4 linked regions of the Schizosaccharomyces pombe genome follow. Changing the gene in region 3 together with the main gene of any one other region gives a genetic interaction. Each region holds a gene or a part of one and is shown on either strand. Other genes may lie near its edges.

The links.
Region 1: mutations in fpb26 (region 3) and ptl2 together harm fitness more than expected from each alone (negative genetic interaction), as found in Schizosaccharomyces pombe (one large-scale study listed by BioGRID).
Region 2: mutations in fpb26 (region 3) and SPOM_SPBC146.02 together harm fitness more than expected from each alone (negative genetic interaction), as found in Schizosaccharomyces pombe (one large-scale study listed by BioGRID).
Region 4: mutations in fpb26 (region 3) and pdt1 together harm fitness less than expected from each alone (positive genetic interaction), as found in Schizosaccharomyces pombe (one large-scale study listed by BioGRID).

Annotation. Positions count from the first base shown.
Region 1 is NC_003424.3:3,027,467-3,032,483, forward strand, and holds ptl2 (triacylglycerol lipase), read right to left. Parts: upstream 2,994-5,017; 5' UTR 2,858-2,993; coding exon 2,806-2,857; intron 2,723-2,805; coding exon 2,506-2,722; exon of another isoform or gene 2,440-2,505; coding exon 1,104-2,439; intron 1,055-1,103; coding exon 767-1,054; 3' UTR 540-766; downstream 1-539. Other genes in the region: ATPase histone chaperone Abo1, read left to right, coding at 1-524.
Region 2 is NC_003423.3:999,188-1,002,684, reverse strand, and holds SPOM_SPBC146.02 (uncharacterized protein), read right to left. Parts: upstream 1,835-3,497; 5' UTR 1,675-1,834; coding exon 883-1,674; 3' UTR 523-882; downstream 1-522. Other genes in the region: cut3 (condensin complex SMC subunit Smc4), read left to right, coding at 1-196; mediator complex subunit Med15, read right to left, coding at 2,605-3,497.
Region 3 is NC_003424.3:2,058,563-2,062,949, forward strand, and holds fpb26 (fructose-2,6-bisphosphate 2-phosphatase), read right to left. Parts: upstream 2,325-4,387; 5' UTR 1,916-2,324; coding exon 689-1,915; 3' UTR 501-688; downstream 1-500. Other genes in the region: sac12 (inositol polyphosphate phosphatase), read right to left, coding at 3,244-4,387.
Region 4 is NC_003424.3:4,329,130-4,333,729, reverse strand, and holds pdt1 (Nramp family Mn(2+) transporter), read right to left. Parts: upstream 2,771-4,600; 5' UTR 2,392-2,770; coding exon 826-2,391; 3' UTR 564-825; downstream 1-563. Other genes in the region: prp10 (U2 snRNP-associated protein SF3B1), read left to right, coding at 1-560; dolichyl-diphosphooligosaccharide--protein glycosyltransferase Ost1, read right to left, coding at 3,274-4,600. UniProt on the Schizosaccharomyces pombe protein: Transports manganese ions into the cell. Regulates cell morphogenesis through control of manganese homeostasis.

The sequences.
Region 1 (5,017 bases), 970 kb from region 3:
AGTCTACTATGTCTGTTCCTTCCATGTTAGTTGAGAATGAAGAGTCTCCCAAGCCTGACGAATATATTGATCAAAAAGACAAAGTACAATCTCCATTGTTAAATGGGAAGAGTCCAGTAGGCGTTCCATCAGAAGCCGCATTACGTGTTTCTACTGATGTCTCTACGAATATCTCTTCTAATGGCCGTGCTGATATCCCTGTTGACACCCTCATCACGTCTCCTGCTGATGTTCCTAATAATGCTCCTACTGATGCCCATAATATTACATCCGCTGATGGTCATATTGAGAATATCGAACAAGAGGTGGTATTCCCTGATTTGGTGTTTGATGAGGACAGACTTACTCCATTGAAGCAGTTGCTTATTGATTCAACAACAGGCTTCACCGTTGACCAGCTTTTACATCTTCATTCATTTTTGTACCAGATCATTTGGAATACGAAGTCCGAATGGAATAGAAACTCTGTGGTTGATGAATGCGAGCGAGCAGTAAAAGAGTTTATGATTAATGCACTACAATAGACATAATGAATAATGGTCGAGAATTGCTACATATTTTTGATACAGAATGACGAAAGTATTCGCTTAAGCTGAAATTTTTTTAATACATTAATTATATGTACATAAGCACAAACAAACAAAGTAATTTTTAATAATGATATATCTCTTTCAATTGAGTATAATTTTGTCACCTGCACACTTCTATGTCACTTTGTTAAAATAGGTATAAAGTTTACTATTTAAAGGCGCTAAACAAGTAAATTTTAATTTACAATGTCAATATCTTCCGGAGAAATGCTAGCCGACTCTTGGCTTATTTCAATGTCACCACGACTCATGGATGTACCGATAGTACCATCAATAGATCTACCCAATTTACTAGGCTTATCCATCATGCGACCTTTTTCAATCAGCTTTTCAATAGTCATTCTCGCAGCAATAAAATCTAATTTAGGAAAAGTTGCAGCCTGTCCCGCATCTATCATATAACCAAGTCGTTCAACACTGGGAGGAGAGAGAATATAATAAAAGTCCTGAAATTTTGTTTTAGGCTAAAATGTTAGCTTGTTGTAAATTTTCATTTGCTATATATAATCTTACCCATATTGTAATAGTGCCATCAAACTTTTGCAAAAAAACACTACTCCAATCCGTACCAAGGGGTCTTGGAAGTAATTCTAAACTACGGATAACATGTAGCCACTTAATCATATCATACTTCAAAAACTGTTCGATGGCACTTCCAACGTATCCGCCTCTCCACCCACGGCCCTTACGGTGTGATACTGGACGACCTACTGTACCTCTAGGCGAAAAGAAGAACACTTGAACATGAGGATTCGTTTGACTGACGATGGAGAAATGGACATTGAATTGAGTACGTAACTCACTTAAAGGAATATCCGTACGAAGACTTCCATCCTTGAAGCGGTTTCCAAAATTGTGAGGGATAAGCCTGTGCGACTGACTTCGAGTCATCAAGGGAATAGGATTTAAAATACCAGGGACGGCACAACTAGCAATAACAGCACTCCAAATTACAGTGTCAGGGGATGTGAGGTAGTTGATCAATTTAGGAGGAGAGTGGACATCACTAGGAATAACTGAGATATTCAGAATACGACCAGTTCTTTTATAAGCTTCAGCAAAAGTCAAGCTTCCACGAGTAAAATACATGCAAGTTTTTGCCCATAAAATTTCGTCAAATCTAGCTCCCGTCCTGAAGTACCGCTTCGTAGCATCTAGCCAATTGCCGATATCTGATTGATACTTGGAAGCAAGTTCAGGAACTAAAAGCTGCTTTAACTCTTCGTTGGTGCGGGTGCAAACTAGTGCTGCAAGAAGACCGCCACCACTAGTTCCAGTAATGACATTGGGAATCAAATCCTGGTTGAGAAGAGCTCTCAACACTCCCGTGTGATAAATGGCAAAGGAAGCACCACCTGATAGGCAAAGGGCCGTTCTTCCATAATTATGGGAAAAGTATTCAAACATCTTTGATCTTTCCTGTGCCGTATATAAACGTTGATCTATAACGGTTTCTAGACAAACCTTTAATTCATTAACATAGTCTTCCACCAATTTTTTGGTACCGCTATAGGTTCGCGAATATAGCATTGAGCTGTCGATTCCACCAAAATTACTTCTCACACAAACATCAAGTACAGATTTGAGGGCATTCCAATCTTTCTGTTCTCGATGTTTTACCAAACTGCTGTAAACAGCTTGTACGAGCGTGTAGTCATAATAATCGTAAACAGGGTCCAATTTCCACTCGTCATTACCAAAATATTTGTCCAAAGCTCTGGCTCTTTCCTTCCATTCTTCATAAGTTTTTGCTTCTTGCAAGAGTTTACGAAGTCTGCGAGCTTCGCCTCTCCAAACAATAAAGTACTCATAACAGTTAATATACAAACGGTCCAAAAGATAAAGAAAGCTGCAAGTTGATGATGTTAGCAAATACAAATGGATAAATAAAGTAAAGGGTAACAGATAAACATACGCGACAAAGGTTAGACATAGGAAAGCAGTAAACATCAAGGGCCAACGTAGAATGGGATACATAAAGCCCTCTCGTTTTTCATCTTTACCCGGTTTTGACTTGCGAGGGACTACGGCCTCATAGACTGGATTCCAATCATGTTGAGCAGTGATGTACTCAATTTTTTCATCATGGCGTTTTTTATAAACACAAGTATATTTTGCGAATTCGTCAAGATCTATAAATTTTAAAAAGGAAAAATGTTAATAATTGGTTTTGTAAAATTACTATGTAATAAAAATTAACAGCAAATCATCCTACCTTCTTGAACAGTGTAATCCTTATTTATTTCAGATTCCTCTGGGATAGACATTTTTGGATAGGAAAAAAACAAAACATGAAGCAAACGAAAAGAAAATTTTATAATTCAAATAAGATCATTAAAAATAAATACTGGGTATTAACAAAAGATCAAAGCATGAATCAATTGAAGAAGAACGGTATAATGTAGAAGAAAGGGTACCGTGAGACTAGGTGCTGAACATAATGAATTACTAGGAAATGACCCTACGTCATTTAAAGACACTGTTGGGAATATGTTTTATGGAAAACAGGGAGAAAGGTAGTAAAATCGGTATTAGCAGATAACAGAATAAACTCAATGACATTAAAACATTAAGGATGTAATGCGTAAAATATGGTAAATAAATATTGAGTATTGGAGTGAGCGATGTCGAAAAAAAATTAGCAAAATAAAACGTAATGTGATGGAATGCAATTGCGAGAAAAGATTTTGATGCACTAATTTTAAATAATTTTGGATAAACAAAAAAGATGCAAGGGCAATTTTTAATTTAGGATAGAGTGAATGAAGGAAAGGGATTATTAGGGTGTAGTGAGAAATGAGCATGCAAGATCAATTGGAATATCATGGTTTTTTGTGTAAACAAAGAAAGGAAGGAAGAGAGGAAGCAAAATAAATATGCCCGAAAATGAATTGAGAAAGGAACGGCTCTAGAAAAAAAAATTTTTTTTTAAAAGAAATGAAGGAATGGGAATTTGATCGACAAAGGATGCAAAGGTTGTTTGGATCAAATTCAAGGTTTGTGTAATTTTTTATTTATTTATTATTTATTATTTATTTTTTTTAAATTTACAAACTATTGCGCTCGGTAAATAGATATCGGATTTGGGGAAATCCGTAACTTTAAGCTTGAGAGCGCACTAACTTTGGTTGTTTTTTAAGCGTTTAAAAAAAGGTTTATACCAGAGTTTGAAGCTAGATTCCATGATCGCAGCTTTGCGTCCAAAAATTAGCACGCAGCCGATTTCAGAGCAATTGCGATAGCAAAATGGAATGGAACGCAATGCGGCGATAGTAGGAGCAAACATGCGGATACATTGTAACGGCAAGCAAATGGAATAGCAGGAAAACCGGGCAAGCAAAATTATTAAAGTGGGCCATTTAAAGTGTTGAGGAGAATGGAAAGAAGGTTAAAGAAAATCTAATGTTGTATTATTTATCGTTAGCGCATCAAAACGGTAACGAAAGTAGAAGGATGGGAGAGGGATTAGAAGCGGTAGAGAAGGATGGAAATAAAAAATGGTAAAGAAGGATGAAAAATTAAAAGTGGTAAATAAGATTGTATGGATGCAAGATGGACTTTTGGTTGTACAAAACAGAGTAGTGCGCTAGGGATCTGTAGATGCAAAATGGACTATAGACTATATCGTATGTATAGCATGTATTCTATCCATCGCTCTATTTTGCCTTGGAGAAAGAAAACGATATGGGAAAACATGTGTGAAAAGCAATTATAATGCATGCCAAAATCGCCTCGTTAAACCGGATTCTGCAAGGCTACCATTTATTAATTTTTTTTAAAAAAAGCTGGGATAACGAAGTGTCTACATTTACTGCCGAATTTCATCAGGTGTTTAGCAGCAGTGGAAGGCTTCGCAGCACCTTCGGAGAAAGAAAGGAGATTTTACTTGTTAAGTGAATGAATTGCCTGCAGCAACCGAAACCGTCTAAAATGACCTCCATCAAGTTTGTAAGGGTCTCGCGGTATTTTTGCTTTTACTATTTAATTTATTTTTCATTTTCATTTTTATTTTAATTTTTTTAATTTCCTTTATTTTGTAAAAACATAGACGAAAAAAAAAATCACAATATTCAATTGATTTACTCGTTTAAATTTACTCGACTGACTTTTTTACGATTCGACTAACTTTCTCGACTGAAATTGCATGTGTCATAATATAAAACCATAGTGTCACACCATCAGTTTTAGGAATGTAATTTTTTTCTTTTGAATCTTTTTTTCTTTTTCTTTTCCTTCTTTTTTGGGTGATGTTGTTGTCCTATTTCAAGGGTCCTTTGTTGTAGAGGGATGTTCCGTAGCTGAGAAAGGGGGCGAGGGAAGGATGTGCTGGTAGATGGTATCGTAACAGCAGACAAGCACGCAAAGTGTGTAGAGTAGAACAGTGTAGTGGGCGTGGATCTGTTGGAATCAGTAGTTAGTAGACAGTT
Region 2 (3,497 bases), on a different chromosome or scaffold from region 3:
CGATGCTGCATTAGACTTTAAAAACGTTTCGATTGTTGCGAATTACATTAAGGAAAGAACTAAAAACGCGCAGTTTATTGTTATTTCTTTAAGAAGTAATATGTTTGAGTTATCTTCTCGTTTGGTTGGCATTTATAAAACGGCGAATATGACTAAGAGTGTCACAATCAACAACAAGGAAATACTTACAGATTAACTGCACATTCAAATAAAAACGTAGAAAATTGGAAACTAGATATTTAATAATTTACGAATTTTTGGCTACTGAATGTCAGTGTTTCATAATTCACAGTGTGCATACTAATAAATCTATGTTATGAGAAGATTAAACTAATTTAGTTTTGTGGCACCCAGTTTATGTTAATGTTTCAGAAATCTGTTTATGAACGTAATAGGACTACAAATATATAAAATTAATCTTCACTCGCTTTTAAAGCCTGTAAAATCTGCGCAAAGGAATTGTATATAATTAAATATGTTGTTTACATCATCAATTTCAGAAGGTATCTACAATTTGTAGTTACATAGTATAATATTTTAGTGGGTAATGCTTTTAAAGATTTATTGCAATCGTATGCATACCATATAGAACGTATCCAATTTTAAGTAATTTAATTTTATGGTAGTAAATTAAGAATAATTAGAAACAAACAATAAATTAGATTAAACAATATGAGTCGTAAACTTAAATAGGAAATCTCAATGCACACGACGAGATAAATGAAAGACCAATTAACAAGAAAAATGCAAATGATAAAAGCTTTCCAGCTAATAAGAGATAGGAGGACTAAGGAAGAAAGTAATGAAGGAAATAAATGAATGTTAATTACCACATGGCTAGCACCATGTAGCCTAACATGGAGCATCTGAGTAACACTTATTTTATAGCCAGTCGCACTGATGGTGTTCCCACCCATTAAACTCAGTCAAACCCAGGTGCTGAATTTTCCTCTTCGATTTCGATCGGTTTCTTTTAAAGGACAAGCTTGATTCGCCTTTCACAGCAGATTTAAGACGAGAATACGCATCAGAAACTCGGGAAGTAACATTTCTTTTAGAAGGTGTTCTGTCTATTAGTCCCTTGCGAGAGGAAACTTCTTCAATATCGAAAAACTCTATATCATTTGCAGAATTTTTTAAAGTGCTTTTACTACTCCTTCTATTGGCTCGTTTTTGAGCAACAAGCTTCTGAATTGCGGCGCATTCTAATCTGTATTGCGAATTGCTAAGTTCCTCACCAAGTGCACCTCTTGCAAGCCGTGCAGGGGAGGATGGTGAGGCATAACGACTATGGTTTGAAGAAAGACCAAAACCCTGCTTTCCAACGCTGTTTAGCTGTTTCGAAACCGAATATTTATGAAATCTTAACTTTAATGGAGAGATTGGTGAAAGTAAAGGACTTGAATCACCAATGGAGTTCGATGCCGCTTCCAACAGCCATGGCGAATGCTGCGAAATGTTTTTGTCCCAAGGTGATACTGGCGACTTTAACTCTTTATATATGGCATTGATCAGTTCGTCAGATATATGATGTGATAGCTTCAGTGAATTAGAGGTGCTATCTCCAGAACTTGACCTTGTTCTATCGCTTTGATCATCACTGCCATCAATGAAACAGCTGGTTTTTATATTATGGAGTTGCAAGGTTGCTGGTTTTTTCCTTATACCATTCATTGTAAGTTTAAAAGCAATTAATCTGCTTGATAAAAAAATTAATTGACTATTTTGTACTTAATAATGAAGCTAGGAGATCTCTGTATTCAATTATTGTTAAATCCTACGATTCTTATTTCAATGAATCAAGAAATAATATATCGTTAGTAAGATAACTTTTATTTACAGTAGGCCACGAGTTAGCGTGTTATATACAAGACTGAGATCACAAGGTTTCTTTGTTCATGGAAGACAAAGAAAGCTTTTATTGACTTCAATAATACGTAAATTTTAATTAATTATTAAGCTCAATAAATTATCGGGAGTTTTGAAATATTAATTTGTTTTCTCATGTTAGATGGTAATTCGAGATAGCTATTTGGCGGTTAGGTTAAACCAAAGCTCTTGAACCAAAGCAAAAACATAAACTGATAGCTACTTTTAGAATATTTGAGATAGTAAACATTAAAAACTATACAAATATTCATTTAAGAGATTACAAATTAATTTTCAACACCAACCGGTGCACTAATAATAAATTAACTAAAATCAACTTAAACGTATGAATAAATAAAATTTGTAACGGTCCTCATTATACCGACATTTTCATGTTCACAATGAGTCTCATAGACAGGTCATTAATCGGGAAAAAGCCATACTTTCTGGCATTGTGCCTAATAAAGGTACAACCGGATCTTCAAAATATTAAATTCAGGTTCTATTTTTATCATTGTATATAAACACAAGGACTATACAAACCTTTTCCCAATCACAATTTTCAACATAACAGATGCTTTCAAAAAATGGAGAAACGTTGAATAAACAGAGAAACAATATATGTCTATGGTATTCATAAGATATTGTAGAAGGACAAATATGTCCAATTTGCTTTTTGAGACGACGTGCAATAAATAAATAAAAAACAATTGCGAACCATCGTATCACAAAATTTTAAATCACAACTTGCCATATGTTTGTAGATGTTGGAAATGCGATGTTGTCTTCATCTTCGTTACCCACTTGAAGCTGCTTTAGCAAAACTTTCTTTTCATGAAGCATTTCATTCCATGGATCTTTATCGTCGATCGCTGGATCTAGAAAACATGATTCATCAAAATTAATTTGAGTAAGCTTATTTTGCATTTTAGTCTTATCTTTATCTGCATCCAAAGCAAGATTCATGGTATCTGGTTCCTTTAAAAATCCGATTTCAGAGTTGATTTCATTACCTAAATCAGCCCAAAGCTCCGAATCATCATTAAATGAAAATTTTCCGTCCAATGACAAAATATTAGATGGACTAAGTGAGTTTTTGTTATCTGTAAATGATAAATCTGGAGTTGACGGAGGAATGAAAAACGACTGAGGTGTTTTCAAAATAGAACTAGGAGTCTGTGATGATTTGATAGCAGAAACTTCTTCTTCATGGTCTACAGCCACAAATGCATCGATTGCGTACTTCAAAGGATTAGCAATTGCTTCTTCCCGAGCTTTAGCCATTCCTTCCTCTTTGGCTATAGTACCTGGAGAAACACTAGAAGGTATTTCATCTACACTTGACATTATAACATCAGGAGTATTTACGACTGAATCCTTAGGTTTTTGAACTGTCGATAAGTTTTCTATCTTTTTCTTCTTAGAAGGCGGTAACTTGAGATCTTCTGGTTTTAAACCATGTTTCATGACTTGTGATGCAATCTTCTGTTTGGCTTGCAAATCCGGCTGAGATACATCCAAGGATTGGAATGCAAGTTTACTGTCAACAGGAAAAGATGTGTTACCAACAGAATTTGCTTTGGCTGCAGGTTGGGCTTGCCCAGGAACACTGGGTTGCGCATTAGGAA
Region 3 (4,387 bases):
TCGAGTATGTCAAGGGTTTTATTCTGTCCTGTCATTAGCTGAAGATGATAGGATTTATTTAATGACTTTAAATTGAAGAAGTCTGCTAAAAAATATGATATAAAAGCGACGTTTAATATCAAATACTTTTATCTTGTTGACTTTCTCTAAGGCTAATCAAAAAGTACTCTAACTACTAATACTTTGTTCGCTATTTTGTGAGTTTTTCGATATCTTTAGAATTATGGATTTGCTATCCTTCCTTGCTTAATTATTTGGAAAGTATATACCGTATAACTTTGATTGATCTCGAGAGCAACAGCCACAGTTTTGTAAAACGTGGTTGAAGCTCGATTCTAGAAAAAAAAAAGATAATTTTGCCATTCATGTCTTAAATGCTTCATAGTGCATTAAAGATAACAACTTTATGAATGACATACACAACCAATTGATGGTTCCGAGTAAACTACTTTTTTCTTTCTATTTTCGTTTAAAAGATTTGTTCACGTACAGTAAATACTTTCGGCTATCTGCATAGTGATACGAACTTTAGGTAACTGGAAGAATAATTAACAATAAACTTTGAAAAAAATAATTTTGTATTGAAGTCATCAATGCTGCATTTTATTATTAAAAAATAATTCACAACCTTTGAAAAATTCTGATCAACGTTAAAGGAATAAATCAGCACATTATGAAGAATTTTCTTTCAATGTTTGCCGCGTTGAGTAGAAACAGCAGAAATGGGGACTGTAACACGCTCCTCTATCGTTTCGTATGTCATTGGAGTGAGTTTAATTATTGTATGTAAAGGAACATTAATAAATGGTAATTCCTCAAGTGAAAGATTATGATAGTATCCATAAATACAACGAAGAATAGCTTGATGACATATAATAAAAACATCTCCCTGTCGTTCTAACTCCATAATAATCGGCTCTAACCGCCTTACTACGTCCATATAAGATTCTCCGCCACGATATCTGTAATGAAATTTATCATTATTTCGCAATTCGGCTTCATGAGGAAAATTCTGTTCAATATAATCATAAGTAAAACCATCACACGTTCCTGCATCTAATTCATCCAGTGCTCTCCATTCGAGCTTTTGGCAATTAAGGTGTCGAGCAGTTTGGATAGTCCTAGCCATTGAAGATGTCCAAACCGTAAGTCCTTTTTCACCTATCGAAAACTTAGCAACATATTCAGGAAGAAGAGCAGCATATTTTAGTCCTTGAGGACTTAAGCTTGAGTCACCACCTATTTTTCCTTCAACATTAAATTGACTTTCACCATGTCGGCTTAGCCAAATACTTCGTCGACGCGTACGCAAATTAGAGAGATAATAAACAATCCTAGATTCAAGGTAATTTTCAAGTTTATGAACTATCAGTTCGGCTCCAAAGTCCACAATTCTAACGAAAGTACATTCTTCAGCCTCGGACAAAGGTGTGTAGTGTTTCTCATACTCATGAATACTATCAAGGATTTTATTCTTCGATTCTTCGAACGGAAAGCTTTTGAAATATGGTGAATGCTGACACATATCAGTAATGTTTTCATCGATAATTTTTTGATTTGTGCAGACAACCTCGACAAACATTAAGAGCATATTCCGCGCTTTTGCCAACTCCACTATACTTTTCCGAAACTTTAGTGTACATTGGTTAAAATCAAGAATCGCAACATCAGTACCCTTTTTAAAAACGCTCTCCAGATTATCGAATATGGGGCTAAGAGTTTTAGCTAAATTCTCTGAATCACTGTTAGAATTTTCGGACAACGAATTATCAATTTCTTTCGTATCATAAAGGTGAGTAGAAACGGACATCCATGTCAAATATCTGGATAATTTCATTGCAGAAGATGTCTTGCCAGATGCGGGTAACCCCACAAAGCAAACACATAGGCCCAAAAGTCCTTCAATGTCTTTCATGTTCGATCTTAATGTAAAAAAGTTAGTTCTTAATTTAAATTTTGGGTGTGGTTATGTTGCAAACAAATATTAAAGAATAAATCATAAGAATATGACCAGGTTGCTAATCCTGCCAGAATCGGGTTGAATTATTAAGTGAATATGTTAAATAATGAATATATGTTAAAGAGTCGTATTTCGCTCGAAATGTATGATTCGCCTTGAAGAGCTTGATGGACGGTTTGCAGTACTCGTACTTATGTTAAGTATCCTTAGAGTATGTAGTGAACTCGTCAATGCGTTAAAAAGCTATAATTTTTAAAAAGAAAAACGATTAAATTAATAATATTTAACAGAACGGCTTAAAATATACAAGTTCAGAACATTGCACTCCTGCTAACATAAACAAGAGGGGTATACGTGTAAGTTCAAGCTTAATATACTAAATTGCAGGTCTTCGTTACGCAGTATTATTGCGAGAGATGTTTACGCTTCCGTAAGCTACATTAAGTGATCTCAAGTCTTTGACTTGGTACTAGGAGTAGTTAAATCCACTATTAAAATAATATTCAAAATTAAGTGTGAGCATTTCCATTTCTATAAGCATAATTATGCTAAGCTGATTGTAAAAGTGTATATAATCATTTTCGTAATATTGTGGAGTTTTCATACAAAAACTGTCGGGTAAGGCATAACTTCATCATTTTTTCAGTAATGTGAATTGTGAATTAAGATTCTGGATTGGAAGTATTAGAAAACGTTGCTGAACTGTATGATCTTTTAAAAAATTCATTTTTATAACATGTTCATTGAAAATATTAAACCAGAATGCCCCTAAATTGGAAGAAGTATGTATCCTAAATATTGAACATGAACAACACTTATGAAATTGAAAGAAAGCTTGGCTTTTTCATATATTTCATTTACTGTTTAAAACCGAGTAAAACTTGAGTCAAAAGCCTCAGTGATTCAATGGTCAAAGTTGCCCAATATTTAACACTGACTTAATAAAAGTTAGAAATATTAATTTTGTCTGCTATATTTTTTTCGTGTGTTATCCATACTACAATAGTTTGTTAAGGGCTCTAACAATTATGAAAATCTTAAATTACTAATTGATATTGGTAGGAAGCTTGGAGCAATTAAAGAAAATAAAGTTACAATTACCAATCACGTAAAATGATCTGAATTAGTCACTTGATAAAGTTGGGTAGCATCGCTTTGTTCAGTAGCAAGATTGACATCTATGAAGTCTAATGAAATAAAGAGTGAACTTCGAGTGTTCAAAGAGCGTTTTCTGCTAATTAAGAGTTATAGCAATACTGTTCTTTAGTTATTGAAATGCACAGTTAGACACTTTTTTTGAAAGAGCCGGAACGCAAAAAACGAAACACTTTAAGAGTAATATTTCGGAAATGATTACGAAACGAAAACCAACCTCCCTTAGCATACGTTGGTAGTACTAGACGAGGCCAATTAACGTATTGTCTACGATGAAAATATAGGTAGATTCCAGCATTCACCATAGGGATAGAATATAACAGACGACAGAACAGACTTGGATTTCCAAATAATTCTTGTATAGTTAATATTATCGTGGTGAACAAAAAAATTCCAGGTGCCACAAATCTAGTCCAGTGAAAACGCAAAGGCAAGTCCGGAATCGAAAGTGAGTCGTAAGGACGAAATACTCCAAGACCCAAATCATAGCTATCTTGCAGCATACCGTCAAAAAAATTGTTAAGAATATATCTACGAAAGCAGTTTAATAAATCTTTGAAAGCTCCAAAAATGGTTCTCGTTCCATGGCGAGTCACATCGCCTTTTAAGGCCGGGGTACCAGTGTAGAGATCACTGATATAATCTCCAGTATTAGCCCATATTAAGCGAAAATCTTGTAAAAAACTATCATATTCTTCCAAACTCTCAGAGCTAGAAAGTACACCAATATCGTGTAATTGCATGTTTAGAATAAACTGTGCAATGCTAGTCTGAATGACGTTCGTCCGATCTAAGCAATCCATACAATTTGTCCTTACAAAGTTGGTTTGCATTGCAGTAGTTTTAGATCCATGCTCGGCATAATATTTTCCTTCTATCAAGAGACTTTGAATTTCAGCAAGAAACAAAGGGAGATTTCTACTTCCTTGCTTATGATAATCGTAGTAAACATAAGACAAAGGAGGGTTTTTATTTCGTTTACATAATTTTTCAAACCCAGACCGTAGAGGTGCTTCACGTCCTTTTTGGTCTAGAAGATTGACCACCACAAGATTGTCCCCATAATCGTTGGCAAGTTCTTGAAAATGCTTCCCAAACACAGTCTCGCTATAATCAAGAGGTTGTAAAGATAATAAAGGTCGATAATGAAGATCATTAACTTCGGCCCAGAACATGGGGATACTTCCTCGAATTTGAGTAAAAGAAAGAACCATTTGTTCTTCAAGGGTGATGGGTGATTCGATCATTATTATTTGTTCAATTTCATTAAAA
Region 4 (4,600 bases), 2.3 Mb from region 3:
TGGCAGAAACATGTATGCCTTTTACAGTCGTACCAGCACTTATGGCAGACTACAGAACTCCAGAAATGAACGTGCAGAATGGTGTTTTAAAGTCATTAGCGTTTATGTTTGAATACATTGGTGAGCAAGCACGCGACTATGTTTATGCCATTACACCTCTTTTAGCCGATGCGCTTATGGATCGCGATGCCGTGCATCGGCAAACCGCCGCTTCTGTAATCAAGCACTTGTCTCTTGGTTGTGTTGGTTTGGGTGTTGAAGACGCAATGATTCATTTACTTAATATCCTATGGCCAAATATCTTGGAGGAATCGCCCCATGTTATCAATGCCGTTCGGGAAGGCATTGATGGCATCCGAAATTGTATCGGTGTAGGTCCAATTATGGCATATTTAGTACAAGGATTATTTCATCCGAGTCGTAAAGTTCGTAACACTTATTGGACAAGCTACAATTCTGCTTATGTACAAAGTGCAGATGCTATGGTACCATACTATCCCCACGTTGATGACGATCAATTCAACAACTACGATATGAAAACTTTACATATTTGCATCTAAGTACCCTTTTTGTTAATTATTAAAAAATATTCATTATAATAGTACATGAAAACATTTGTGATAGTACTTGTATACATGTCTCAGCTTCATGTTAATAACTTTGGTTTCAACAGAGCATCGCAAATTACTTGACGCGGTTTGCAAATGCTACATAAATAAATTTCGGACTAAGTGTAGTAATTAAAGGAAAGCTATGGGGAAATGTTAAAAGGAACGTACGCATATAACCATGCCGTTTGAAAAATACGAGCGTTCTAAAATTTATTTAGAAGGAGACTCCCATGCCCAACCAAACAATGAGTAATAAATTTAAAGCAGTCAAAAAGAGCCAAATTGCCCATGTAACAATAGTCATAGTCCATCCTAAGCTATAATCGTGAGTTTCTCTTATCAATTGTCCAGTTTCTTCATTGGTAGAATCACTAACAACACGCATAACTTTTCGAGAGCAAGTGAACATTACAAGTGGAAAGGTAAGAAAAGGTAATAAAATAGAAAGACAAACCTGACTAGCGTTCAGTACTTGATTAAGACCACTCTGTCCAACAGCAGCCGAAACAACTAAGCATGGGATAATTGCAATAGCACGTGTTATTACTCTTCGAAGCCAAGGACGTAAATTCCAATTTATGTAACCCTCACTAACTATTTGACCTGCGATGGTACAAACATATCCTGCACTCATGCCTGAGAATAAAAGGGCGACGGCAAAAAGTCGACCACAAGATATAGACACATATTCTTTCAGTAAATCATAAATTGAAAAAAGATCGGAGGTGTCAGCGCCGCTAGTATTGTAAAATACAGCACCAGCGACGATTAGGATACTAGAATTAGTAAATAATGCAAACGTAAAAAGGGATAAAGCAACCTCGACTATTGAATATGTTAAAGAATGCTTAATGGTTTCATGGGTAGGTCTGTAATCAGAGCAATCACCAACAGGTGTATAATTCCCACGACGGACATCCAAATCACGAAGTCTAGTTTGAACAAGGCCAGAACCTAGGAATAGTGAGTGGGGCATGACAGTAGCACCCAAAATTCCAATGCTGCTGTAAAGTCCCTCTCTTGAAAAAACGGTAGAAGAAGGTAGGAACCCTTTAAAGACAGTACCAGCGCCCCCGATGTGGACGCGGCCTAAAACGACTGCAAATGAAATAGCAACAACTAGAACCAAAAGAGCAACAGCAGTCTCAAAGATACGTACACTGAGCATAGAACCTTCAGGACGCCAGGCAATAAGGACCAGTAAAACGTCTAAGATGGTAATTACAACGCCAGCTACCAAAGGAATGTGCATTAAAATTTTAAGCGCGACAGCCGTGCCGATAACTTCGGCAATATCAGTAGCTATAATTGCAATTTCTGCAAGAACGTAAAATGACCAACAGATATATCTATTATAGTGTTCGCGGCAATTTCTGGCTAAATCCATACCCGTTACGGATCCAAGTCTAATACATAATGATTGCAAATACACAGCAAACAGATTGGAGAGAAAAACGATGAACAGTAACTTGTATTGAAACCTTGAACCAGCATCTAAATCGGTTGAGTAGTTACCTGGATCAATATATGCAACAGCTATAAGGAATCCAGGGCCGATGAACTTGCAATACTCACGGATTCCATAAGTACATTTCTTCCAATATTTGGAAAACCCTGTTTGAATCCCATATTTGTCTTCTAAAAGAAGATCTGTGGATCGGCGAGTGTCATTTTGCTCAGGATTTAATTCATTGATCGCGGTATCTTTTTTATTAAGAGTTGATGATTCTAATGATCTCAAATCATCCAAGTCATTCATATAATAGGATTGGCTAGACATGGGAAAAAAATGGATAATTTCAAATAAATAAAAGAAATTATGACGATAAAAATATTATGATAAATTCGCAACACAAGTAGATTAATAAATATGTACCTTTTAAAAGCAAAAAAAGTAAATTAACTTTCACAAAATAAACAATATGAGCCAAGTATCAACTGAGCCAGAGAGTATAATTGAAAGTAAAAGAATTTGACTGCACAACCCTAAGAATGTACTCGCTTAAATCTTCCGAGCAAACTTAGCAACACGAAATCAAGGCAATCGGTCAAAGCGCATGCAGGTTTCTCTTAATCAGATTATGAATGTTAAAGTAGCTCTATTTAGTTGGTTACAACCAACGTTACAATTATCAACTTGATTTAACTGCCCCTGTGGTAAAGGAATGTAGTCTAACTGGGATCGCTTCAATTATATCAGGCATATGTTGAGGTAGCATGTTACTTATTAATGTTGCATCTTTCAAGTGTAATGCAAGGAAAAGAGTGTTGCAGAAAAAGAGGATAATAAATAGAAGAGCAGGTTTGCTAGAATCACCTTTACAACGACTTGTGGCATTTATTCGCCTTTCAAGCAAATGCACACAAGCGCATCGATATGGTGAAACTATAGTTGAACTACAATTATATAAATTTACCTATAGGTTGAATCAATCAATCATTACAAAGGGTAATTTACGATCACATTTACTAAAAGCTGTAAACAGAGTTCATAAAAAATAAGGGGAAGGCAAGAAATGGAAGAAGGGGAAAAAGAAGGACAGTTGACAAATACTGAATTTTTGTCAACGATTTTCGGATGCACATAAGGCAAATATTAAGCTAGCATAAACATGGGTTTAAGGACATTCGGCTTGATTGATCGACTTTGTAAAAATATTTTTTAAGGTGCCCAAATCATGTAGGCTGCAGCAGCTAATAATATGAGAAGAGTAGTAATAATTGCAATTCGAAGGAAAAAGGCCGAACTGTTATACTCATAAGAGATATGAACAATATCGGAAGGGACACCGTCGGTTACATTCAAAGCTTCATAAGTAAATACTTGGCGACCCAAAGTATCCAAAAATTTATGGATTTTAGTAACGTTGGAATTAGATATTTCTACTGGCATTTCAATTTCAATGTTGGTAGCCCCTTCGGGAAAAACATAAGACCAAACGGCTTTCTCATAAATCATGTCACCAGGTGACCATGCCAGAGGAATATCAAGATATTCCCTTCTATTCTTGGAAGAGCGGAACTCCTCGTAAGGCATTTTCCAATCCAATTGGAACAAATAGTTCCATCCCCCAAATACAGGATAGCGAGGATTTAACTCGATCCATGTCTGGTGAGGCTCAACTCGCATATGAGATGTGGTAATGTTTCCCACCTCATCGGTATAGTAGACATCCTTGGAATTTCTAGGAAGACTATAGACGACTCGATTAATAGCAGTAGAAACTGGATTGTAAAAGTTTCCCATATACCACTTGGCACGATCGAAGTTGGACTTCAGCTTGGCAGCATGGTTTTCAAAAACCACACGCTCCGAGACTTCTAACATTTTTCGGTATTCATGCATATCAATTTGAACATAGAGATCAGCTCCGCGAGGAATAGGTACAGTATGCTCATAGCGAACATAGATTTCACCTAAATCATTGTCCTCCCCGGTGATAGTCTCACGGCTTTCGTAAACCAAAGTATTGCCAACACGATTGGGAAGTTCAGCTCCATCAATATTATACGTAGTATATGTGTCAATTTTAGCAGAAGGGAGTATAAGACGAGTGCGTTGAAGATCAGTAGTGTAGGGACTATCTAAGTAAAGGGTTGTCAGGTAAACCAAATATTGTTCTTCGTCTTGATCCACAGCTGCTGGTAAAGGACGAACACCACCGTCCAAACCTGCCTGTATTAATAAAGTACGAGATTCACCAGGTTTGACAGGAGGTTGTAAAGGAATATCATAAACATTGTTGTTAACTTTTATAGGGTTAGTTCCTTTCTTTTCTTCCTCTTTTATCGATACGGAGAGAGACAAGACACTTTCGCCAGGTGAGGTCTGCTGAAAGTAGCGATATGTATTTTGAGGCTCATCTCCTTCATTTACAATAATTAAAGAAGTGAGAGTTTTGGTATAAGTGGAGCGTAAATCAATCGTACGAATCGCGTTACTATTTCTCCATACCTGCTCAGCTAAACTGAGCCCAGATATGATGGAC